2 linked regions of the Styela clava genome follow. The protein of the gene in region 1 purifies or fractionates together with the protein of each later gene. This does not show direct contact. Links are inferred from orthologs where the notes say so. Each region holds a gene or a part of one and is shown in the gene's direction. Other genes may lie near its edges.

Region 1 (12,835 bases):
TGATTCAAAGTAAATTCCCATAATCGCTAATTTTTTTGTCGTTCATTCATTGTTTATTCATTCTATGCTATCATAACTCGTATGTTTGTTTTTCTTGAATTGTATTGTTAGGCTATTTGCAGCTATTTACCCTATGTAGGAGATTTAACGGCATGAAGGTCTCTTTATTTTGTTATTATTTCATAGCGCGCCTACTTCACCACCACAATCTGGTGCATTCGGCCTTTGGTGGGTTATTGGGTATAAAAATCGGATTCAAACTCCGATACCACTTCGCCTTTGGCTTTTATGTAGATGATTCCAAATGTATGATAGCTTCGTACATATCAGAAGCTGCTTATCTGGTGCCTTGTTCATATTGGCAGTGTGAAAACACGCATAAAAATTAGGCACCTGGGCTTACTTGACATCCTAAATTGAAGAAGAAGTGCATTACCCCCTTGCCCACCAGTTGATGCAGGATGTAACAAATTGGGTATAAGCTAGTGGTTCTTAACCCTTTATCTTTCATGGGATCTCATGTAGTTTCTTACCTAACATACTTCTAGTCGTCGTAGCATGACAATTTTTTCATGTGTCAATCCTAACCCTCACCTGACCACACCATCCAAAAATTACGTCACTACGACGTCACAATGACCCTTCAAACTATACGAACTGCCATCCAATAGGCGCGGACGAACACCCGAAATTGAACAGCTATTTTTTCTCGTCACAACGATTCCAATAGGAGAGAGATCGATAACGTCAGACAGTTCTTTATTGTCAGCGCCGATGCCATTTCGGCCGATTATACGTATATTCGGCAAGCTCTATGACGTGATTGTGATGTCGTAGTGACGTAATTTTTGGATGGCTAGTCAGATGGGGGTTAGGATTGACATATCAAAATATTGATATGCTACGCCCACTAGAAATACGTTAGGTACGAAACTATATGAGACCCATAAAACCTTTTTCATTTACTTAACTCCGGCAATATTGAATACGTTTGTAGCCCACCTGGAAATGTTTCTATGGCCCAGCAGTTGTCCGTGGTCCACTAGTTGAGAACTCACGGTATAAGAAATAATGCAAGCAATAAAGATTCATTTTTGCTTGAAGCTTTGTTTAGAATCAAAGTGTGCAAACTACCGAATAAAAAAAAACAGGGCTGCTCCTTCCCATCAAGAATAAAAATAATATTTAGCTGCAAATGGCCCAACAATGTTGTTCTAATGATCTGTTGTTCTTTATTATTGTTCTTCTACTTACAGTTGCATGCTTTGCGACGTACGGTGACCGCATGAAATTTATCAAATAAAAGTGTTGTGAACAATGTACTCGAATATGCAATCGGCAGCAAGGGCAGTGGGTTGGATAAGATTTACACTTTTATCTTCCGGGGGGAGAGAATAGCCGACAAGACGGTATAATCATATGGCTAACTACGTCCTCTCGTTTGGTTGCCAGTCCATGTCTGGTATGAAATTGAATAGCCAGTTATTAGTTCTCGAACGCATGGACTTAATGGTAGAGGAAGCCGTAATTGACCGGCGGTTTTGTGAACCACCCTACGGCGACGAGGAGTTCGCGAGCGTAAATCTGGGTATGTTCGTAGCAAAAAGCACGAGTGCGCAATCCGTTCGCACATAATTAATCCCGCATGGCCCTCGAACCCACGCAGAATAATCAGAGATGCGGTGGCGAGCGTATTCCTAATGCTTAGCACGGTGCGCCACAGCGCCGAGTTTCACTCTTTCAGAAAATAGGTCCTATTCCAGAAGCAATATATTTTGAATACAGAATTTCCAATATGTTTTTAATTGGGTTATGTTCAACGGAGAAATTTGCTTGGCGGTATGGCGCATCGTGATGTGTCAGGGGTGTGCAACAATTTTTATCGGCGGGCCGTGTAATAAACTCCAGACATCTAGCCCCGCCACGCAAAAAAACTAGGGGGAAAGGTAAGAGAAAAGAAAGCGGATATCGCTCATCCTTGCAGTAAAAAATGCGCAGGGCAAAGCAGCGAAATATCTCATGCAGCAACGATAGCAAAAATCATTTATGTATTTTAATCCATGTAAGCGCTTTTTTAAACATAAACTGTCGGATTCGGATTTTATGCCTAATGGCAGTAATGGGGGAAAATTTAGTGTTGACAAGAGCCACACTAAATGGCCTGGCGGCCTAAGCGCTGGGAATATCACACCTCTGATTACCCTCTCCTGGAGGATAATTAAGTGCGAGAGTTATACTGGCCTGGCCGCCGCCGCCGTAGGGTGGTTCACGTAACAACTGGTCGGTTACGGCTTCCTCCGCCACCAAGTCAAGCTATGTTAGCAACGTACCACTGGTCTCCTGTGTCATTCAGTTCGCAGGCGGCGTAAATCTGGGTTTGTTCGTAGCAAAAAGCACGAGTAAGCGTCTCATTTTGCGCTCTCTGTTCAATAATAAAGTCAGATTAAAGTTTGGCTCGCCCTGGACAAAGTTTTCTTTGGATACAGGTGCGACAATCCAAGTTGTCATTTTGCCTCGCTTTGGGAAGAAAGCAGAAAGCCCCCTGGAATAAGAAAATTAGAAGTTATCTGGTAACGGATAGGAATGCAGATTGCGATGGAAATTTAAATTTTTGAATCATTTCTATCGCTAACTGGATAATTTATTATTTATTATTTCAAAACCTTGCGGGGTGAGGGCTTTGTACAAAATATCCAAGTTTTCCCTCACCCTTTAATTGTGGGCATCGCAATCCACATTTTAAGTTTGGCTCTGTTCGAAAATATGCATCTACGTTCATAGGACGACAGAATTTACAATCCGAGTTTTCAGTTGGGGGTTCTGGAAAGGTAAGCACAATATCCGTTCCGATGCAGCATAATCTCGATGAATCCACAATGAGTATGTTTATGGAGCTAAACACAACTATCTAATTTCGCTAAATATGCGGCCATAACATTCCTGTGTATAACAATTGACAGTGGGTCCTGCTTGATTCGGTTTACTCGCATGTGAAAACCGCATGTGTAGACACCTCTTCCAAAACGTAAGGTTTGACTAAAAAAGTCTTAAAAAAAAAGTGGGATTAAAAGGAGATTTTATTTAGACCAGAAAGATCTAGTACATTCTTGACAAGCAGCGAATTTTCGTAATCATATGGTATTTGGTCACTTGTGGGCCGCATTCGGACAGACCCTGGGGCACAATGGGTCAATCTGTCAAAATTCAACGAAGTATTCCCTTAAAAATAACAATTAATGAGCATATTCGTCTAAAGAACAATGAGACTTCAAATTTGAAGATTTAATATTTTTAAAATCAATATTCAACTGAAATAGTTCAGATATTTTGACAAAAACTTTCGCAAACAAATTTGATTATTTCCTTCCTCGAATCTAAATCTGGAAATATTATTGATCCTCGAAAATATTTCATATTGGGCCATGGGTTGAAAGAAATCATAACATTACACAAAATATAACGCATCTCTAGGTCTCTAAGCACTTATTGTATCAAACACTGTCCAATTGTGCCCTGTAGGGCATGTCCCACTGAACCCCGGTCCATTGTTCCCCATAATAAACAAACATTTTCAGACCATCCCACGTCGAAATTCGGAAGGCACATCCACTCGCCAACGTCATGAATATTTTACAATGGACTAAAGCTGAAAAATATCAGACGGTGGTTTGTCATGTTAGAAAGGCTAAAGTAGTAAAAAGAAAAAACTGGAACGGTGAAATTTTAGTTTCAACCTCTCAAAACCAATTTCACCTCATAGCTTGCGCCGCTCTACCGTCCTCTGTCCGTTCGCGGAGACGTTATAACTCACCGAAGGGCGGATTGAAACATCGAACCGCGGACAGGATTGCGGATACAGTATCAGTGTGAGAGCTGATTCTCCACTGTGCCCCATGTCCCAACGTGCCCCACCTTCCCCTACACTACTAAACCATTGGCAGATATTTGTATTTATTGGCAGAAAATTTTATTTTTTTTTGGGGGGGGGGGGGGATATTCCAATTTAAGTTCCTGAGATTTAAACCTTTTTCCTAATCCCGATCTCGAGAATAACATATATATCTGTTGAAATCAAGTAATTTCAAGGTTGTATCCATAAACATCAATGCGGTGCAGATCTGAAGCAGTAGCCAAAATCAAGAAACAATTGTTTTGTTATTTTGTTTGTACTTTATATATATTACTTAAAATAAAAAAACTCCATCATGCACCTGGTTATAACGGTAAACTCTCATGCTTTGATATATATTCAAAGTAGGTAAACTAGCAGTATTTTGATCATATTTGGGCAAGGCCTCCACAAAATTGTTTCCGGCCCGTCAATCTTGCAACCTTGGACCAACCTGTAATAGGTGATCAAGTATAGTTTTTATTCAAACGACGAAATTATCAAAGGCCTAAATAATGCATGAAAATGTTTCAATCGAGTATGAAGCAGGGTTTGAATTATATTGTACCTGACCAGTCTTGGTTATATGGCCTGGGGAGATTTAATACCGTCCGCCACTAAAACAAGTATTGGTATTTTTAATTCACGGAGCGCCTAAATAAAACACGTTTTATGTTATTATTCTGAGAAAATTCTAGATATTTTGCAGTGAGAATAATAATACATTCAGGGGTTTAAACTCGTGTCACGCGAGAAATAATGATTTAGCAAAGTAGTCAGAACTGATGTAAATTAAATAGATACACTTTTGTTGACATGTGGAAAACTAAAACAACGTCTGGACATTTATCTCTGTATTTGCGTGTATTATTTATATAATATTTTTGACTTGTGCAGTATTAATGTAATACCTATTTATGCACGCGATAACAAACTGCCAAAAGACGACGCTAGTTGAGAGCATTGCTATCTAGTAATCTATTAAAAATTGATCTTTGTGGGGGTGAAATGGTCATGAATGTATCAAAATATGTTGTGAACCACTTTCCTAGCTTGAAAACTAAGTCTCTACTTTTATGGCACGCACCAGGTAAAATTCGTATGTATCCATTTTGCTGTTGTTGACATCGAGTGAATGTGATGTTTGGACATATCTACTCTCTCTGATAGGCTCTCGGCGCTCACCACTCAATGTTGGACATAGTGTTGCAAACACACGCAGTGTAATCAGATGTGCGGTAGCTAGCGTATTCCTAACGCTTAGCACGATGAGCCACACCACCGAGACGAGAAGATCGGAAACCTTAGTGGTGGGCCTATAGCAGAAAAGTATCGGGCCGAAAACCCCACTAGGGGGCCGCGATTTGTCATTTGAATTAGATTTATTTGGGCTTTCCACATGTGATTATTAAGAAAAAACGTTCAAACGTATCTATTAAGTACTTCCGCACTGTGGGCAAAATACTAAGCGAAACCAAAACTCGAGTTAGTTACGTCATTAACTTCTCCTCATTAAGGTTGAATTCAGCTAATTTATACTATGATAAATTATATGTTCCCTTGTAAATTTATTTACTTAAAAAATGTGTATACATGTATGAAGCAGCAAAATACTTGAATGATTATTACTATTCAAATTATAAAATACAATTTAAATAATTAAACTAAGCAATTATTGCATTTCAGTTCTATTGAAATCAATTTTAATACACTTGGGAACATGTCATTTTCCTGTGTGTGAACATAATTTAATCTTTCTCATGGGATCAAAACAAAGGTCGGTTCTCTACTTTTGTCTGTTGCTATTTTCTTTTCGTTTTGTCGTCGGCTATTTTTTGAGTAATGAAATAATTATTAGAGAGTTATGTACTTCTGGTTGTTTATCTTATAATTTCGTGATTTAGTTATTTATGTCTTCTTTACCCTTGAAGGTATTAACGGGTGAGAAGGAACGTGAAACGCCGAGCAGTGACTGACTGCTGGACTGAGGGCTTCAAAGTTCTGAAGTTGGGAGAGATTTACATATTTCAGTATTTATCATGGGTAGAAATAAGATACCGTAGGTCATTTCATCATTTGGAGAATCACAGCCTCTCGTCCAGTTACTAGTGCATGTCAGGCATTGGATTACTGGATTACAGGATTAGTTTGCCGGTACCGGTACCGGTATGCTAGTAATCAGATGAATGGACTTGATGGTCTGATGGTGGAGGAAGCCATACCGGTAACCGACCAGCGGTTAAGTGATCCAACCTAGGGCGACGAGTAATCCAGCAATATTTTTGCACATACCCTCCTCTATGGGATTAGTCAGCCAGTTCTGCAGTTATTTGTTTCAGATGCATGGAATCCACGAAACATTTTTAGTTTTTGCTTTCTTTTAATTTAATTTATAGCGCAATCAGGCATTGCTAGTTTGCCGATATGGAGGCCCAGACTGTCTTGTAATGGAGGGGTTTGCACTCACTGTTTTAATTAATGGCTATTCTTGGAATCGGACAAAATATTAATGACTCTAAAATATTTCAGAACATATTTTGAAATTTTTATTTCATCCAAGATATTTGTGCAGTATCCATTGAAAAAAACTTTCTGTTTTACAGCTGCTTAGGCAAAATATAACCTAAAAATGAGGTTTCATAATTATTTCAATATTTCTGTCTTGATATTATGGATTATCATGGTTGGATTTGACAGTACAAATGCAACCATATACGCTTTCGACCAATTCAATGAGACTGACCAGTTTGCTGATATGGAGGCCGGATTTGGTCCGAGTATTGAAGATGGGGGTATGATCGGTTTACTTGTAAGAGGAGAACCATATGACGGATGTAACCCAATGAAATCACCCCCGTTTAGACCCAGTGACAATCCGGATAATATAAGTATATCTTGCTATGCTTTAATAACTCGTGGAGGTTGTGATTTTGGAATTAAAGTATATAACGCACAAAGAGCTGGATTCCAAGCCGCTATAGTACATAACACTAATTCTGATACTCTAGTAAGAATGAGCAGTGGGTTTCCCTCTATTACAAACGAGCTTACAATACCTGCAGTCTTTGTCGGAATAAGTTCAGCTCGGAGAATGAACACGACATATCTTTATGATAAACCTGGAACACCATATGTGCAAATTTACGAAGGTTCTTTTAATCCGTTAGACTATTATCTTGTCCCATTTATTGTCGTTATTGGGATTTGCTTTGTATCGCTTTTATGTTTCATGCTTGTTAAATGTGTAAGAGATAGACGCAGAACACGGCGTAGCAGGTTATCGTTACAGCGTTTGAAGAAATTACCAGTCAAGAAATTTGACAAAGGAGATGAATATGATGTATGCGCTATATGCCTCGAAGATTATGAAGAAGGTGATGTTTTGAGGATTCTACCTTGTAAGCATGCGTATCATTGTAAATGTGTAGACCCCTGGTTAACAAGCAATAGGCGAGTTTGTCCGTTATGTAAACGTCGTGTCCTCAGCGACGATGAAAGTGATTCCTCATCGGATGAATCAAACGATACGAGCGACGATGAACAGACTCCTTTAGTTCGTTCTTCTATTGCTTCATCCCCAAATTCACCAAGATTTGCGACTGGTTACGGCTCCCGAAATCCGATCACTAGGAGGCCTCGTAACCACAGCTTTTCATCTGATACTAGCACAGATATCACTGAGGTTGCTCCTGTGTTAACCCATGGTTCCCACTGGAAAGGTTCAATGCCCGATTCTAGTGATACTGAAGTTCCACAGTCGTCAAGGGGTTATGAACGTCAGCAACTTGTAACGACACATCAAGAACCTGATCGTGATGTCACAATGGGTCTTATGAATCCAGCAATGGAACCCGACGATTTACTGACTTCCGCAGAAGCAATGATGACAGGTCCGAGAGTTTCCGAATCCTCTATTGCAGTTCTATCCGACATAGAACAGTACGGTTCCTCGCTAGGGTCTAGTTCATATTGTTCACAAGATTTCCATAGTCTCAATGAATCTGTTACTATTTCACGATCTTCTATCACCACCGCTACAAATATTGACTCCGCCCACCACCACGAAGAAAATGATGAAACTGCTTCAACATCTGGCAACAGTACTGATCAGGATGACATCATTGTTATCGCGAAGGGTTCAAAGGTTCCAACTACATTTGATGACAATAGTGAAGTCTGATTATATTAACTCTTTCATTTTATTATTCTCAAATATCAGTGTATATTGCAATTTTATGGCATGATTTAATAATCGAATACAGCTCAAGAAACTCTGTATTTGATAAAAAGGTACTCCTGTAGTATGTAAACCAGGATGGTGGACACCGAGACGTGGTATGTGGGCCAGGTTACGGTTAGGCCATAATTTCAGATACTAATACAACGTAAGTCATTTGGCTAGTCCCCGAACTTGTAATAGGACTAAAATAAGGGAAATTTGGTATATAATTATTGCCTAACCGTAACCAGGTACACATACTATGTTCAGGTGTCCGCCATCTTGTTTCACTACTGGAGCGTTAAAAAAAGTTCCATATGTGTTAATAAAGGACGCTGGCATTGGTTTAGATCAGTGTTTCTCAACCTATGGGTCGTGACTAGGGCTGGACATTTCGAATCGAATATTCCGGTCGAATTGCATAGTAAATTATTCGAATCGGTTCAGAGCAAAATTTCAAATCGCCGCCATCTTGTTTTTTTCTTTTTGCCAATGATCTAGCTAGGTGAATTCCTCATTTTTTGTTCATTGAAGTCATAATTTTTCAACGCAATTCTAACATATGACTATTCTCTGTAATGAGTTATTGATAAAACGTGTTTGTTATTGTGTGTGAACGCTCAGTAATCTATCTGAGTGATGTATTCTATGTCTTCAGTAAATCATTTGGAGGACCAACTACTATAAAAAAGTCGCTTACAATTATATATTTCCAAGTATTCGAGATTCGATTCGAAAAAATTATTCGATTCGATTCTGGAATCAGAAGGTATTCGAAAATGCCCAGCCCTAGTCACGACACAGAACTGGGTTATGAAAAATGATTGTTTCATATAAGTCATTTAATTATGCCATTATAAAAGTATTACATGTCGTTTAGTATTTGAGCATATCCTTGGATCGCGAGGTTTTACAAAGTTTATTTTTAAAAAAATTGGGTCGTTTGAAGAAAAGGTTGGTAACCACTGATTCAGATCTCTGGTTGACAACCAGATTGACTCTAATTCCAAACTATATTTTCCCCTTGGCTAACAAACTTTTTTAATTGGAAGTGAAATTGGAAGTTTTTGATTGGAAGTCTACAATTTTCATATCTGAGCTAAAAAATAACCTGGTATTGACAAAAAATTTGACTCCCCTCCATTTGAAAATTACCTGCTGCTCCCCTGCTTTGGGGGTTCCATCGATCTGGTCTTGGTGAATATTATATTAAATCTATTTCGAAAAATTCACATCAATGAATCTTGAATTCTGATGTATATTTAGTCATTTTTTCTGTTTGTTCCTAATATTGAAAAATTTGTTTTCAAATTCAAAATATCTTAATATTTTCACACTCTGGTTTATATTTTTTATGGCCATGTTTAGTTGAAATGCTTGAGAGGTTGCTTTGTCACATGAATGCAGCAGTGAACAGGTAGTCATTTTCTGGCGTGATTGATTGCTTTTTTGTTTTTTTTTCTTGAATATTTTATCAAAGTGTCATGTTAATGCTAGGTGTATTTGTCATGGCATAAGGTCTATTCCATCACCTGTACTAGGGGTGCACAACTCAAATGAGGATACGTGCCAAATTTTTCAGAATAATCTTGTCGCGTGCCACGCACAATTGTGGTATTGTAAATTAACTCCCGCAAAACAAACAAATTTCAATAATAATACATAATAACGGATATCTATTTGTTGAAACAATTTAATGTCCTGAAATACTGCTGATTTTGATATAAACGTGTTATTTTAATGTATATCATAAATAATTTTTTTTTTACCCGTGTTGTGCACCCCTGACCTATACTATTGAGAAATTTTCAGAATATGGACCAGAATATACAATATCCTTTATTCATCTAAAGATTTTGAATTGGGAAATTGATTCTGAATTGTAATATGTGAATTATAAATAGGGTGTTAAATTGCAAAGAAGGGAATTCATCGATACCATATATTGTTTTGGCCCTCACAGATGTATAACTGATTAAAAAACAGAATATACTGAGAACTTACTTCATAACAAAATTGAAATTGTAAAGCAGGGGTCTCCAACTCAAAACATGTCGCGGGCCACTTTTTGAAATTTATTGAAAACGCGGGCCGCAAACCAAGAAATTAGGTACAAAAATGGGTATCTGAATGTATTGTGTTAAAATTACACTTGAATCTTACAGCAAACGAGACATGAAACACATTCATATGCAAATGCTCGTCCGTTAGTCGTGTGCGGAGGGCAGACTTGCTAACTTTCATATATAAGAATTGCCAAAAATCGCAGGTATGCAAAGTGAATGTGCAATTAGCTTTGCAAACCTTTCTTCGGGCACAATGGACTGACCGAAACTCGCTTATTTTGTCACAATGAACATGCGAAATGAAATTATCGCATTCATAATTGCATTATAACAATATAATAAAACATGAACGTGGACAACAGGGGGGAATTTTGCTTCGCTTTTTACAGTTTGTCGGACCGGACTCTTGATGATAAATGACACAATAAAACCTACTAATAGTTTACATGGTACTATTTTAGTTTTTTGTGGAAAAATCCCAACCATGACGCGGGCCGCAAATCACTGGCTGGCGGGCCACATGCGGCCCGCGGGCCGCGTGTTGGAGACCCCTGTTGTAAAGGGACTTTATAGACATCCTGTATAATAAATGGTTGAAATAACAGTCAAATGTCTGTGACTTTATTTGTGCATATGTATTTGACACTTCATTGGTGTGTGTGCTTGGTATACCAATAAATTTAAGTTTGCTCACATTCATTTGGTTGCATTGAAATTACATAGACTCCTTGCCATTATCTCATTTTCTGAGTTTTTGAATTCAATGGGATATTGTTAATTATATATTTCTATGATTATTTTTTTCATCCGTTAATTATTAAAAGTCAGTGGTTTCCATTCGACTGCCGGAATATTCAATTGTTAAAATTATTGATTGCTCATTTATATGACATGTTTTCACTCATTTATTTTTAGTTCTTTGACAAACAGTAAATCCCAAAAAGTTAGCAAACATTTCCTCAATGTTTTCATGTTATCGCTTGAATCGTAAATATAAATTTTGAGTCTTTAGCTTGGTTGTTCTCAAACTTTCTCGATTTCCAACTCTTAGCTTCTACCTGTGGATTGTGGCCAGTAGCTTGTCAAACTTTTCTGTGTCCAGGATGAATTTGTGATATTGCTGCCCCATATAGCCTACATAACTTCAAAATCAATTTGGGGGGTAAACAAATTATAGATAATGGTATACATGGGAATGAATCTTTTCAAGGTCAAGTAAGAGTGAAATGTTTGTAATATTATTATTTAAATCATCAAATCACCTGGGACAGCTGCAGAATCCTATTGTGTTTATAATATTGTTTCAATGATTAAATTCAAGTGTCCTATGACCCCTGATTGTTAAAAAAATTGTTTTGAAATTGATTATATTAAATGCTCCGGAAGTATGTGTACCAAGATGACGCACAACCTGAACCCTAGACTGGTATACATAACTATGTTCAGGTTGTGCGCCATCTTGGTACACATACTTTGGGAGCACCTTATATTATTATGTGATGATGATTTTAACTTGTTTCGTATTTTCGATTTCTTGTAAATATCCATTATATTATTACTTCTATAATCTCTGAAATCTAACAGTTTTCGCCATGTTTAATTTTCTCAGATGTGTTTTCTGAAATTTAAAAATACATTTCGATTTTTCCCGGGGAGATAAAAATGTCGAATTTAGAAACTAGTTATCGACGTTTGGATTCAACTGAAGAGGAAGATGGGGAGGGGGATTCCCCTCCTGATGGACAAGCATTTTTGGTTCATGTTCCTGATGGAAATAAAGGTATAATTTAGGATAATTTGTGGGTAGTTGGCATTACGGATAAAGAGTTAGACTTAACTGCTACTCATCTTGAGGTCAAACCCCATGCCCCCCGCGTCACCCGAGGTGTGATAAATTGGGTTGGCAATGTTAAACCGTGAAGATCCCGGATTTTCTGAAAAATAGCAGCTTCTAACATACCGCTAGATATTGGTGGCTAGTCGTACAGAGCCATGTTTGTATCAAAAGGCATAAATATCTGCCGTATATAAAAGAAATGAAAGAAAAAAATTATTGAGAGAATACCAAAACTGAATTAACTACCATTATGGATACATTTTTTTTTGCAAACTGAATCCGGCCATTTCTAACTAGGACACAGTATAGGAGTCAAAATTGATTTGATAGTTTTTGTTTTTTTTGGAATGGAACATATTCTGGAGAAAAATCAATTTCTGATCAAAATGTCCTAGATTGGTACTCCTTTTGTGTCTGTACCAGGTTAATTTTATTCCGATTTATTTTAGTTCTATTATGAGTCCGAGGAGTCGTGTTAGCCAAGTGAATATACTCCTGCCCATAAGTTTCAGTCCCTTTACACCACTTGATGTAAAATAGGCAAACAAAATTTTTGTACACATACTTCTGGAGTGCCTCTAGGTTACTGAAACATACACAAGTTCAAGTTGAATAATTTTTCTTCATTTTCGTAGGAGAAGTTTATTAGTTCTGTTTTTTGGCTCACCCTGTATTGATAGCCATTTTCATTAATCGTTTATTTTTTTAGCTCGTTGGCACCACATAGAAGACTTAGACGCATTCTTCACAAGGGTATATCAGTATCATCAAAATCATGGATTTGGATGTATGATGCTGCAACAGTGCTTTGAATTATTGTAAGT
Region 2 (13,026 bases), on another chromosome or scaffold:
ATCTATAGGGTATATACTTTTTTCCGAATGTGTCATAGTGCTGCCTTTATTGGCGGTTTTCGAGAAATTCCCCTTCCAAAATCGATAATTTTTCGAAATTTTGAAAGAAGCCACGAGAGGGCGTAAAATGTTTTTTTGGTATTTTATACTTTTCTTCTGCAACTCATTCTAAGTTTAATAGACGTACAGTATTAATGTGTGACAAAGAGAAAAATATATATTTTATCAACTGTTCAGCAAATTTAGTTGACATACAATTCCTTTTTAAATTTGTTTCGTCCACATTGTTAATAAAATTGAAGAGTATACGCTATGTTTGGTATTATATATGGCAAAGTCAAAACGTTCTGCTACCGTTCTGACATAATAAAATTGAATCTATAAGGTATGTGCTTTTCTCTGAATGTGTCGTGATGCTGCCTTTATTGGCGGTTTTTGAGAAATCACCAATCCAAAAACGATAATTTTTGAAATTCTCAAACTAATTCAAGGGGGTGCGCAAAATTTTTTTTATTATTATTTTATACTTTCTGAAACTTATTCTAACTTTAATAATGTACAGTATTGATGTGCGACAAAGAGAAAAAGATATTTGATCAATTATCCTGCAACTTTAGTTGAAATACAAACCTTTTTTTAATATGTTACGTACCTTTGTTTTAAAAATCGAGGAATATACGCTATGTTTGGTATTATATATGGCCAAGTCAAAACGTGCTGCTACTGTTCTGGCATAATGAAATCGAATCTATAATGTATGTGCTTTTATCCGAATATGTCGTAGTGCTGCCTTTATTGGCGGTTTTCGAAAAATCGCCATTTTAAAAACGATAATTTTTTGTAATCCAGGACAGAATTCACTAGGAGTCGCAAATGATTTTTTGCTGTTTTATACTTCCCGCAACGTATTCCAAGTTTAAAAGATGTACAGTATTAATGTGTGACAAAAAGAAAATGATATTTTATCCATTATCTAGCAAATTTATTTGAAATACAAAATCAATTTGAATTTGTTACGTCCATGCCGTTATTAAAATTTAGATTACACGATATGTTTGGTAATATATATGGTCAAGCCAAAACGTACTGCTACTGTTCTGTTATAGAAAAATCGAATTTATAGGGTATCTGCTTTTTTCCAAATGTGTCGTGGTGCTGCCTTTATTGGCGGTTTTCGAGGAATCGAGGTTCCGAAAAGGATAATTTTCCGAAAATTCGTATTTGCGGAATACCTGAAAATTCATTTTTCGCTTAGTTAGTCTTTTTTTAAACACTAATTTCTTGTTAAATTTAATGTATTCATTCAGTTTAAGAATTTTTCATCTATTTTCGTGCCAATATTATATTTTGATCAGCATTTTCAATTTTCATATTTACCTTATAAGTGAACAATATATGCGCGTGGAACCTATATTCAATGTATAAAAATATTCTGGCTGAAAGTGCTGCTAGCTTCACAGTGGTGGTACACATACTACAGGAGTATTCTTTTCTGTTGCTTGGTATTTTGCTTATTTTAAATATAAAGGCTTATCGTAAGAAAAAAATTTGGTGGCATCTCGCAATTTTTTTCGGTTCGAATATTGACAATTCTGTAAAAATTGAAAATTTCAGTAAGATAATTGAATTTTTCCCGATGGGGCCGTGGCCCATCAAGCTATGTGGCCAAATTAGATGGGCCGTGGCCCCGGCCCATGGGCCGTAGAAGAGTCACCACTCTTGTAGGACTTGGTAGACAACAAAACAAGTCGAATTACCTAGCCTATATCAGTATATTTAATGTAGCCACATATTTTTTTTTGATATTAAATAAAATAATAACATAGATCATTACATACAGATAAAAAATTCCATAATATTGATCATTCGTATCCACATATTTTATTACACAAGTATTGATCTTTAAGATCTATCGTCCTGTATCCTGCAATATTCAGATAAGTTACATCTAAAAAAACTTCGAAAATGGTTTTGCACTGGATCTGTAGCGACATCTAGCCGCCATTAAAACGATTTGGGGAAAAAAACTTCGATCCATAGGATAGGATTTACATATTTATCCCGGGGGAGAGGAAAGCCGATAAGACGGCTCATCCATATGGCGAACCACGGCCTCTCGTCCGGTTACCATTCCAAGTCAGGTATGGGATTAGTTATATTGTTTGTTTTCGGAAGCATGTTCGGAAGCATGTTATCAGTTACTTTTACTTTTGTTTTTATCTATTTTTTTATCGTCTATTGCTGATTATGGAGTCGAAATAAACTTATACTTATACTTATGGACTTGGTGGTGGAGGAAGCCGTAACCGACCAGCGGTTACGTGAACCACCCATAACTGAACGGAAACTTTTGACTCTGACTCAGGATACCAAATTGTAAACATCATAGCAGATATCTAAGATCATTCGGAGTTGATAAACTGCTGGCCGATTTCTTCTGCCATCAAGGTATGCTTGCCAAAACTGGCTAAATAATCCCATCCCCGACTTGGAATGGTAACCGGACAAGAGGCCGTGGTTTGCCATATGATTAAGCCGTCTTAGGGGCTTTCCTTCCCCTTGGATAAATATGTAAATCCTATCCTATCTAGATCTTACTATAAAACATCTAAAAAACAGCCCGGGAGATATTGCAATGTTTCAGTCGTCTTGTAACTTGGTATCACCACGACCATTAATCTTAGATATCATTACGCTGTGTCGAAAAATCATTGTTAGGCCACAATGGCGTTGACTTGTATTTGTGAGAAGACGCTTTTGTTGTACAAGTCATACGGGTCGAAAAAATCTTAATAAAATTGCAACTCACGAAGCTGAAAGGTTTGAAAACGTTGATGTCTCCATTCATTTAGGTATCAGCCTTCAAAGATTCTTGTCAACTACAACAGCAAGGGTGGGCAAGGCTTTTGAACCAGGGGTCAAAAATGTTGCCCATCTTGACTGGCGGGCCGCGTAAGTGTGATGTAAAAAGTTACATATCATGAACAGAATTTTATTGGCAGTGTTACAAAAGAAAAAGTGGGAAACAAGCCTCGTGCCAAAACTAAATTTAATCGAAATCTCAACAAATTCCTAGAGCTATTTTTAGCTAGAACATCAAAATTCTGATTTTAATTTGTTTGTAACAGCATCATGCAGGCCATATTGAATTACTCAAAAAGCCGGATTTGTCCCACGGGTCGTAGTTTGTCCATGTCAACTATAACAGACATTGGCAGGTTCACTAACACTTATATCTGCGCTAAACAACACATAATTAACATTGTCCATGAGTTGTTTATACGTGAGAGTTCGATATCAGTGAACCCCTATTCTAATTATATTATACTTTTTAACTGTTACCAGTAATATTTAATAATTAATGTAATCTGGACTACAATTTGGCAATATTTTGGTGTGTCCTTGGTAAATGAAAAGATTTATCCCACCTCTTCATGCACTCAACTTTGGCAATTTTGGTCGGCAATTTGGCATTTGACTCCAATTATAATCAGCTTGGCGAAATCTTTTTTTTTGTCCTTATATTAAATACTGTTCACTCTTGTTTGGGAATTTTTATGAAATTATTAAAATGGTGTGGCGAGCAATTCTTATTTTTATTATATTTCCTATCTTTTATTCTAATTTCTTCTTTACGTGTTTATTTTTTGTTGCCATATAATATAATTTATCCAAAGATCCCTTGAAAAGCATTGCACGATTCTGAATCGTGTTTTTTTGTATTGTTGGAATTTTTTTTTGGTGGGCGGGCGCGTACTTTGATGTTTTTTAATTTTATTTTAAGTTATGCTCGCTTTCCAGGTATCTCTGCATTTTGTTTGTTCGTCTACTTTTTGTGCTGTTTTGCTTTTTTGTCAGAGTAATGAAATAAATGATTGATTGATTGAAAGCTTCTCTCTTAGTTCTAACTTGATTATTGCCCTATGGTTGTGTGTGTGCGAGTGTGTACGATTTGATTCAATAGTTTTAGGTGAGTGAACATGCACCACTTCTTTTTGGCAATACCTTCCATTTTATATTCTGTACGTTTTAAACCTTATCTAAGGTTTTGTTTACTTTCCTGATTTCATAATCAGTTTTTATTTATTTGTTTTTATCAACCGTTTTATTGCCTTTTTGCTGATTATGAAGTCGAAATAAACTTATCTTATCTAACTATAGTTATCTTTTTAAATAATATGTTTGATAATATAAATATAACTTCATAATATATCAATATTTCAGAGGATATTGTCGAACCACCTTGTAACGGCTTCACCGAAACTCAGAGGTTTGATCGAACTCCGATTAAAAGACACTGAGCTAGACGATCATAACGGCAATCATAATTTTTGACGTTAAATTTCGATCGATATTTAACCATTTTTGGCAAGTAATAAACGTCAATATATTGGAGGTCAATCTTTGAGAAATATACCCTTATTGTGCTACGCGATGCAAATTATCCCATACGGAAAGTTTCTTTCTAATCATCCTATTATTTAAACCTGTTCAACTATTTATTTATGCATTTGTCTTTGAGTGGTAATTGACTTTGATGACTTCAACATTTTAAATCTTTATTTCATTTTTATAAATTGTATTGTTTTAATGTTTGCGAACGAATAAAATATATTTTTTAGAATGAACTGTTGCCTTCTATTTACAAGTTTCATGAGTCAATTTGAAAACTAGACTCTGATCAATACCCAAAAAACTATTGATAAAAGTTCACGACCTTTCTGCCACGGCGAATCGGAAACTTGATGAAGCGGAAAGGTTCGCAATCCGCCGGTCGATTTTTTCTTGATTTTCGTCGATTTTTTTTTGTGATTTTAAACATTTTCATGCATTGATTTGTAAAAGATATTTTCTCTGTTTCAATACATGATAAGTAAGTACTCACAAGGATACTTAACGCTGCGGAAATGTAACTACCGGTGCCGATAAGCGCTCATGTGACTTTTCGATATCTTAGACTTCACAGCAAATGCTGAAATGCTAACAACTGAAGATAACGCCGAATCGGCCAATGTACCGGTACCGTATTGGTAACAAGTAGATTAATAGACGGATATTTTATTTTAAAGCGACAGTACCGGTATGAGTGCTACAGTACGACGTAACTTACCTCCAACTATAATTTGACTCCAACTATAATCAGCTTGGCAATATGTTTTCAATAGAATCTTCCTTTTATATCTTAATTAACGATTAGAAGATCGATCAATTTGGCAATGGCAACCATTACAAAAATATCAATATGGTGTGGCAGATAATTTTCTTTTCTAGTATTTCAGTATTTATTTATTTATTTTTTTTTTGTTTACTGTATAGTATACCCTAAATTTATCGCGTTTTATTCTTACTTAAATAACTTCTCAGTGGTTGTGTGTGTGTGTGGCTGGTGGGTGCATGTGAGCGTGTGTGAAATAACTTAATAATTTTAGGTGAGTAAACACGTACCACTTCCTCTTGGCAAAACCTTCCATCTTATATTTTGTACGTTATAAACCTTATCTAAGGTTTTGTTTGCTCCCCTGATTTCATAATCAGTTTTTATTTATTTGTTTTTATTTATTTGTTTTTATCTGTCAAATGTATTGTTATGCTGATTATGGAGTCGAAATAAACTTATACTTATACTTATACTCTAAAAACAAAAAAGCAAACAAGAAAAAGAAACAAATTTAAATATTAATAATATAACTCTACTGTCTGACTGTTTTGGTAGTAAAATTCAGATGTTGATGATAAATTTTTCCACGAATATATAACAATTAATGTAATGATTGTGGGGCGCTCCCGAAGTATGCGAACCAAGATGGCGGACATCCGAATGTAACAGGTTAGGGTTAGGCGATAATTTTTTTCCAATTTTCCTTATTTTAGTCCTATTATCAGTTCGAAGACTAGCCAAGAGCCTCCCGTAGTATTTATACCTAAAATTATGGCCTAACCCTAACCTAGTACACATATTACATTCTGATGTCGCCATCTTGGTTCGCATACTTCGGGAGCCCCGATTGTGGAACCAGTTCTTAACATTATACTGTTATAGTCTAATATTTTATAAGGGAAGGGAAGAGGAAAATTTATGGAAGTTTGGATCACTCAACTGCATATTTCCAATGTCTGTATTTAATCAGTGTTTACAGGAATTACAATGGTAAAATTTGAAAATAAAATCTAAATAAATTAGTCTTTAAATCAGCAAAAAACACCATTAAAATTGGTTGGGATTTATCAATAGGAGTTTCAGCTGAACAAAACAGCAAGATGGCTCTTACACTGAAAAAAGTGAAGGGAAGTTTGGATCGAATGTTTGATAAGAATATGCAGGATCTTGTCAGAGGAATTCGGAATCATAAGGAGTCGGAGGTTTGTGTCTTGTTTGTTTGTGTTCTGAATTTTTTTTTTGTGTCATTGCAATGCAATTCTCAGCCAGGGGAAAATTGCTGAAAATCAAATATGCATTTCCTATGTGATAAATTGGGTGGACAGTACCATACCAGAAAAAAATTCGCACATATGTACAGAGACTTGCTGTTATGGACAGGGAATAAATTTTAATTTTTAAAACTCAATATCAATCATTTATTATAAAATTGGGTTGGCGAGGCAGAATTGGAAAGGTTCTGATTTTATAATGGAAAAGTTTTATTCTTTCATCTATCATTTTATTTATTCAAGATATCTTGAATTTAGAAAAAAAATCATGAACCTACTATCAAATATGACTGTGTGGTTAATTAAACTAGTAGCATTTATTATTAACTACTTCCCCCCCCCCCCCCCTAAAAATTTATTGTTGGTGAATTTATATGCACTGAAACCCAGAGTCACAAGCCGAGTAAGGTCAAAGGTTATCCTAGTATTTGTTGTTAAGTCTATCACATTTGAGTCTTACTGAGGACCAGACTGGATGCCATGGCAGGTGCACACCTGAGTTTGCTAATGCTCCCTCAAAATGCATGCGAGCGAAATTCCATTTTACACGCCGGAAAATTTGGGATTGTCCACCGTTATATATGACAGTCTGGAGGGTGGTGGAATGAAACAGCCACCAATAAACAGTGCTGATGAGTTTTAATATTACAAATTGACCTTTCGGCATCAAGAACATGCCATAACCCACGCCGATTAACAGCTAAATGGGCCTCTCTTGAAATGCGAGACTTTTTTGTTTCCTGAACATAATTGTTCGATTAATTGACCTTTGGCATATGCAATCGGATCGCCTTCGTCATTTGCTAGATGGAACTCTGCGTCAAAGCACCCCGTTAAAATAATAGCCTATCACACTTGTTTATTCAAAGTTTTTCCGATATGGCCATTCTGTTAGTTGCACGCTGAGAATCTAGGTTTTCACGCAGTTTTAGTAATTTTGCACGCGGATGCAGACATTTGGAGTGCTGCAGTCACTGATTGCACCCGATTTCTCATGGAAAAAGGTCATGAATTCCAGACTGGACTGAGAGTTAGTCTACGAGTCATTCTATTCAGATAACTTGAGTCACCTTGAGTATTTGATTAAAGGTGACTCGATTCCAACTAGAGGCGAGTCAATCACTGAGTTAATTCTCATTGGGGGTTTGTCAACTTCGAGCCATTTCATTTTGATGACCAACTCAGAGTATGTGTTTGATAAATCTTGACTAAAGTTGATCTCGAATAGAGTGACTTAAGCCTAATTGAGACCTATCCAAAGTGTGAACATACTTTTTTGTAATTCAGTCTCGCTACATCGCTGGTTGTGTTGAAGAAATCAAAAGTGAACTGAAGCAAGACAATGCGGCAATCAAGGCAAATGCTGTTAACAAGCTTATCTATGTGAGTTGCCGGTTAATATATTATTTTTTTTTAAAAAATATTTCCTCAAAGTAAGGTTGTCCTCACTCAGAAGTAAAGGAAACTCACATCTGAGCAAAGTTATGAGTTTATGAAGGCAATTCTTCACATAATACGTCGCATTACATCTTGTATAACTGCCCTAAAAACCAAACCAGCTGTTATGCCACGGCCTAATATCTATCCCTATTCCTAACCTGCTGTCTGTATGACGGCCCAATAGCCCTCCACAGAGGGGGCTATTCAAATGACGATTAGGGCCATACATCCATCGCTATTCCTAACCTACTGTCTATATATCAACCTAATAGCCTATTGCAGGGGTGGTCATTCAAATGATCTATGACAGGGCTACTCAACTGGCGGACCGCGGTCCGAAATCGAACCTTTCGAGTATTTGATTCGGACCGCACCTAATTCTTTATTTTAGATCATTAGCCCCACTTTTGAAGTTTCCTTTTATAAAATGACTTATAGTTTTGAATATATATGAAAACAACTATAACACCATAATAAGCAATTTTGATTAGCTAATAATCATTAGCCGGTCGAGGAAGTGTGCGTTTAAGGATGCCGATATATAAATTCTGGAAAGTGCGGACCCAAATAATTTTGAATTTTCGCATGCGGATCTTCGGTGAAAATAGTTGAGTAGCCCTGATCTATGAGACCATAATATGGTTCGATATATTATATCCACCTCCATTTCTAACCTACTGTCTATATGGAAGCTCAATAGCCCTATATAGTGGAGGCCATTCGAATAGCGATGGGGTCCACATCAGTGTTAACTCTAAGCAAATTATGAGTGCGAAAGTGCTTCGCAGTCGAAAAAAAAAGTGCGAAAGTGCTTTTGCCGATTTTCACAAGTTATGTGCCCTAGCCTTTCATATAACCCATTTAAAACGGCATAGATACTCGAGAAAGCGCTCCACCGGTTAATATTATGAATTAAAGAGAAGCCTTTTCGTTAACCGAGTTCCCTTTAAGCGAATTCATGTTTAATTAAAACAAGCGAATTCAAATTCGAGCAATTAGGGTCATAATATACTCCATAATCTACTGTCTATATTACAACACAATAGCCCTGTATAGAGGAGGCCATATCCCTATTCCTAATCTGCTGTCTATATGGCAGTCAGGCAGCCTGCTATGGAGGAAGCCATTTAAATGGCGAGTAGGGCCGCATATCCATCCCGATTCCTACCTGCTGTCTATATGGCAGTCAAGTCAGGGAGGCAATTTGAATGGTGGTTGGGACCATATTATCAACCTTCTGTTTATGTCAGCCCAATAGCAGCTCTGTATAGCACTATACAGAAATTCAAATGGTAATTAGGATCATACATCCATCCCTATATCTAAAGAACTGCTTATATGGAAGCATAATATCCCTGTATGAGGTAGGAAATTCAAATGGTGTATGGGACGATACATCCATCTCTATACCTAACTTTGTCTTATTCTTTTCAGCTTCAAATGCTTGGGTATGACATCAGTTGGGCAGCTTTCAATATCATCGAAGTCATGAGTTCACCAAAGTTCACATTCAAGGTTGGTACGATGGTTGCATTGCATTTAATTCACAAATTTATTTTGGGTAGGAAAATGTAGATATTCATAAGTAAATGCAGATTCTATCATTCAGTGTAAAAATTTTAGAAATATTTTCATTTCAGATTCATTTTGAGCAATTCATGTCTCACAGTTTTCACACTTTTAATTTCTTAAAACTTTATAAAAGAGAAAGCCAATTAAATCATTAATCATCTCAATTCTCTCCGACATTATCGTATTCAATCTCATTAAATGGAAATTGACTGTTTTATATTAAAAATTATTCGGCTTAGAATAAATTATTATTACAGAATGTAGTTGAAATGATAAACTGTTTGGTTCTGGCTATCCTGTCATAGAAGTTACCAATCATGTCTGAATTATTTAGATACTGCTGTAAAGCTGTTTATATCTCATGACAGTCTCTTTTACCTAGTAAACAGCTGTATTAAGAAAACACCTAATTGAATTACATAGACAATGTTGGGCACTCTAGGAGTGTGTGTACCAATATGGAGGTAATTTTGTTCGCCTCCTTTACATCAAGTTTTGTAAAGGGACTGAAGCCTATGGGCAGGGACTACCTGGTACGCATGCACTACGGAGGTACCCAAAGTTGAACATGAAAGATCGCTGCCCTTCCGATAAAGTTGTAGCACCTCATATTTGAGTAGTTGCTTACAGAAGGCTTTGTTCAGCCCTAACAAATATTTGTACTCTGTCTTGTCAAGCATTCATTTCATTATGACAACTAATACAGATAAATATAAGTATAAGAAATCAGGAGAGCAAACAAAACCTTAGATAAGGTTTAAAACGTACTGAATGTATACAAGAGGGAAGGTATTGCCTAGAACAGTGGTTCTTAAAGCATGGGTCGCGACCCAAACATGGGTCGCGGAAGGTTTAAAAATGGGTCGCGACAAGGTCGTTAATGCAAGGGCAATCTAAGAGGAGACGGACGAATTTTCAGATTTCCCAATGTTTCAATTTAGCTTCCAAACTCTGGTATTTAAAAATAATGGAATATAAAATTTCATTCACGGAAAGAACTGTCTTGAGCTCATTGTTACATCACAATTCTGATATGCCAGTCACGTGTATTATTTTTATGGTAACGGTAACCATGCAACGTTGTGTTGACCGCGTGGAATGTCGTCTTAGTGGATTAAAATAACCAAAAATGGGTGTCGTTTTGGTATTGTAAATTGTAATAGACGACGCAATGAAAAAGCTCGCTTCTCGACATTAGATTATTCAATATCTAGAAAAAATGTGACTTCATCTCGAGGCACCATTTACCGCGAACGAAGCGGTGTGTGCACATTTGATGAGTAAAAAGTTGTATATTGCGAGAGATACCGAAGGCCAGCTAGGATGTCGTGTTTGCGACGGACAGCGGACGCCTCTGTTGCTACAATTCGCGACAAGGCATTTGTGCGAGCGAGGATATTTGGCACTGACGGTTATCAAAACTAAGCTCGCAATCGCCTCGATACCCGTGACAACTTGCGTATTGCGTTATGTAAAATAGAGCTGTGTATTGAAGATATAATGAAAAGGAAATTTCAGTTTCATCAATCTCACTGAGTCAATGGACTGTTTCTAATAAATAGTTGTCTGTATTTGAGTCAAACTGTACTAACATTAAAAACACATTTTGCGTTATTTAGGATTGGGTCGCGAGTATTCATAAAACTCAGATTTGGGTCGCGCTCGAAAAAGTTTAAGAACCACTGGCCTAGAAGAAGTGGTACGTGTTCACTCACCTAAAATAATGGAAATATTTCACACACGCTCACACGCACCCACACACACAACCATAGGATGACAGGGTACCTGATCGCACAAAGCTAGACTGCGAAAACGCCTCACAGAATTAATCATTCTTTTCTGTTTCAGAGAATCGGATATTTCGCTGCATCTCAATCATTCCACTCTGAAACCGACGTTCTCATGTTGACAACGAATATGATTCGAAAAGATCTCGGATCGCAGACAATGTACGATACAGGAGTCGCTCTCAGCGGACTGTCATGCTTCATTACTCCGGATTTAGCAAGAGATTTAGTCAACGATATTCTGGCTTTGGTGAGTTTTTTGATGACTTTCTGATCAAAGTTGTACAGGCAATGCTATAGTGTCTCAATCATACACTAATATGCAGGCAGAGGCCTGTAGTTACTCAATTACCAGAATTTGGACAGATATTATTTTGCACATGAGCCAAACTTAATTCAGTAGTTTTCTACCCTGGTTACGTCAGTGCAGCACAGAAATTCCGCAAGTATCCGCTTAAATCTTAGAGTCTAAATTATTATATATATATATATATTGTTTAAATACAACCAAATACCTTTATTAGGTTTGCTAATTTACTTATATCATTAACTTGCTACACTTTATTAAAGATCATTTTGTTTTGCCAGTATTAGATTTGCTTAAATATATACAAATTTGTTCGATTTTTTAGTAATAACAATTAAAAATATCGCTCATAATAACAACTGTAAGTTCGAATAAATTTTATAGTATGATAAATTGATAAGTGAGAACTACGAGCACAATAAGAACTATTAATAAACAAAGACAAAGAAATTTTTAACTGTTTTACTATAAACTCAGGCGATACTTTTTGGACACCTTATGTAGATAAATATGTAGTTATACTTTATACAATTCATACTATTACACAGGGACCTCTATTCTTATGCCTCTGAAATGCCTCTACAAAAAAGATTGATAACCCCCGATTTGATAATTAATAAAAAATCTTTATTCTTCAGATGTCATCCACTCGTCCCTACATTCGCAAACGAGCCGTCCTTATTTCATATAAAATATTCCTTGCTTATCCTGACGCTCTTCGACCTGCGTTTCCAAGATTAAAAGAAAAGCTGGAGGACCCTGATCAAGGTTGGTGTAATTTTTTTTTTACTTTTTACTCTGAAAAAGTCTCAGTATAAGCAATCACTGTTGAGTTAGGGCAGGGGTGGGCAACATACAGCCCGGAATTTTGAACGACCCGCTGACTGTATCCAACCACACTCTGTAATATGGTCCGACGCATCATTCCTGAAAGTTGCCGATCGCTCTACTCTCACCGCACTGTCAGTGCGAGCTTGGGAAATAAACAATTTTCTAATGAACAAACAATTGTTACAAACACTTGTTAAACAAACAATATAAGGTCAAAGCAGAGAGCGTTGTAAACATTCCCCACTACTGTTATCAGATGTATTTATATTTAGATTCTAAATATAAATGGATTTTAGAAATTAGATTTTATATTAAGTTTTATTAACCATGGAATATCCCAAGAAACGAAAAATTGACAAGAGAGTGTCGAGCATTTAACAGAGGTTGGATATCGAAGTATTTTTTGTAATAATCCGGCCCGCCGAGGACTTCATTTTCCCACATCTGGCCCGCCGACTGGAGAAGTTGCCCATCCCTGAGTTAGGGGTTAGATTATTTTTAATAAAGGATGGAAATCATACTGATTCAGCATTGCCTACTCAATTTTTTACACTCAGGTTGAGGAGGGAAACGGCATAAGAATTGAATCCAAGATGTGTAATCTGCTAGTTTTTAGTTTGTATTCATTTGTTTTTTACACTGAACAAGTAATCAATCACT

The links.
Region 2: the proteins of E3 ubiquitin-protein ligase RNF13-like (region 1) and AP-3 complex subunit delta-1-like purify together in Homo sapiens (affinity purification with mass spectrometry; 3 studies listed by BioGRID and IntAct, counting the BioPlex papers as one, with this or other methods). This does not show direct contact. The link is inferred for Styela clava from reciprocal best matches to the Homo sapiens genes RNF13 and AP3D1.

What each region holds. Positions count from the first base shown.
Region 1 is NC_135262.1:2,537,813-2,550,647, forward strand, and holds E3 ubiquitin-protein ligase RNF13-like, read left to right. Parts: upstream 1-6,495; 5' UTR 6,496-6,518; coding exon 6,519-8,069; 3' UTR 8,070-11,784; downstream 11,785-12,835. Other genes in the region: autophagy-related protein 9A-like, read left to right, coding at 11,837-11,954, 12,721-12,829. UniProt on the Homo sapiens protein: E3 ubiquitin-protein ligase that regulates cell proliferation. Involved in apoptosis regulation. Mediates ER stress-induced activation of JNK signaling pathway and apoptosis by promoting ERN1 activation and splicing of XBP1 mRNA.
Region 2 is NC_135250.1:30,761,798-30,774,823, forward strand, and holds the start of AP-3 complex subunit delta-1-like, read left to right. Parts: upstream 1-6,132; 5' UTR 6,133-6,258; coding exon 6,259-6,360; intron 6,361-7,716; coding exon 7,717-7,812; intron 7,813-9,303; coding exon 9,304-9,384; intron 9,385-11,289; coding exon 11,290-11,478; intron 11,479-12,173; coding exon 12,174-12,303; intron 12,304-13,026. UniProt on the Homo sapiens protein: Part of the AP-3 complex, an adaptor-related complex which is not clathrin-associated. The complex is associated with the Golgi region as well as more peripheral structures.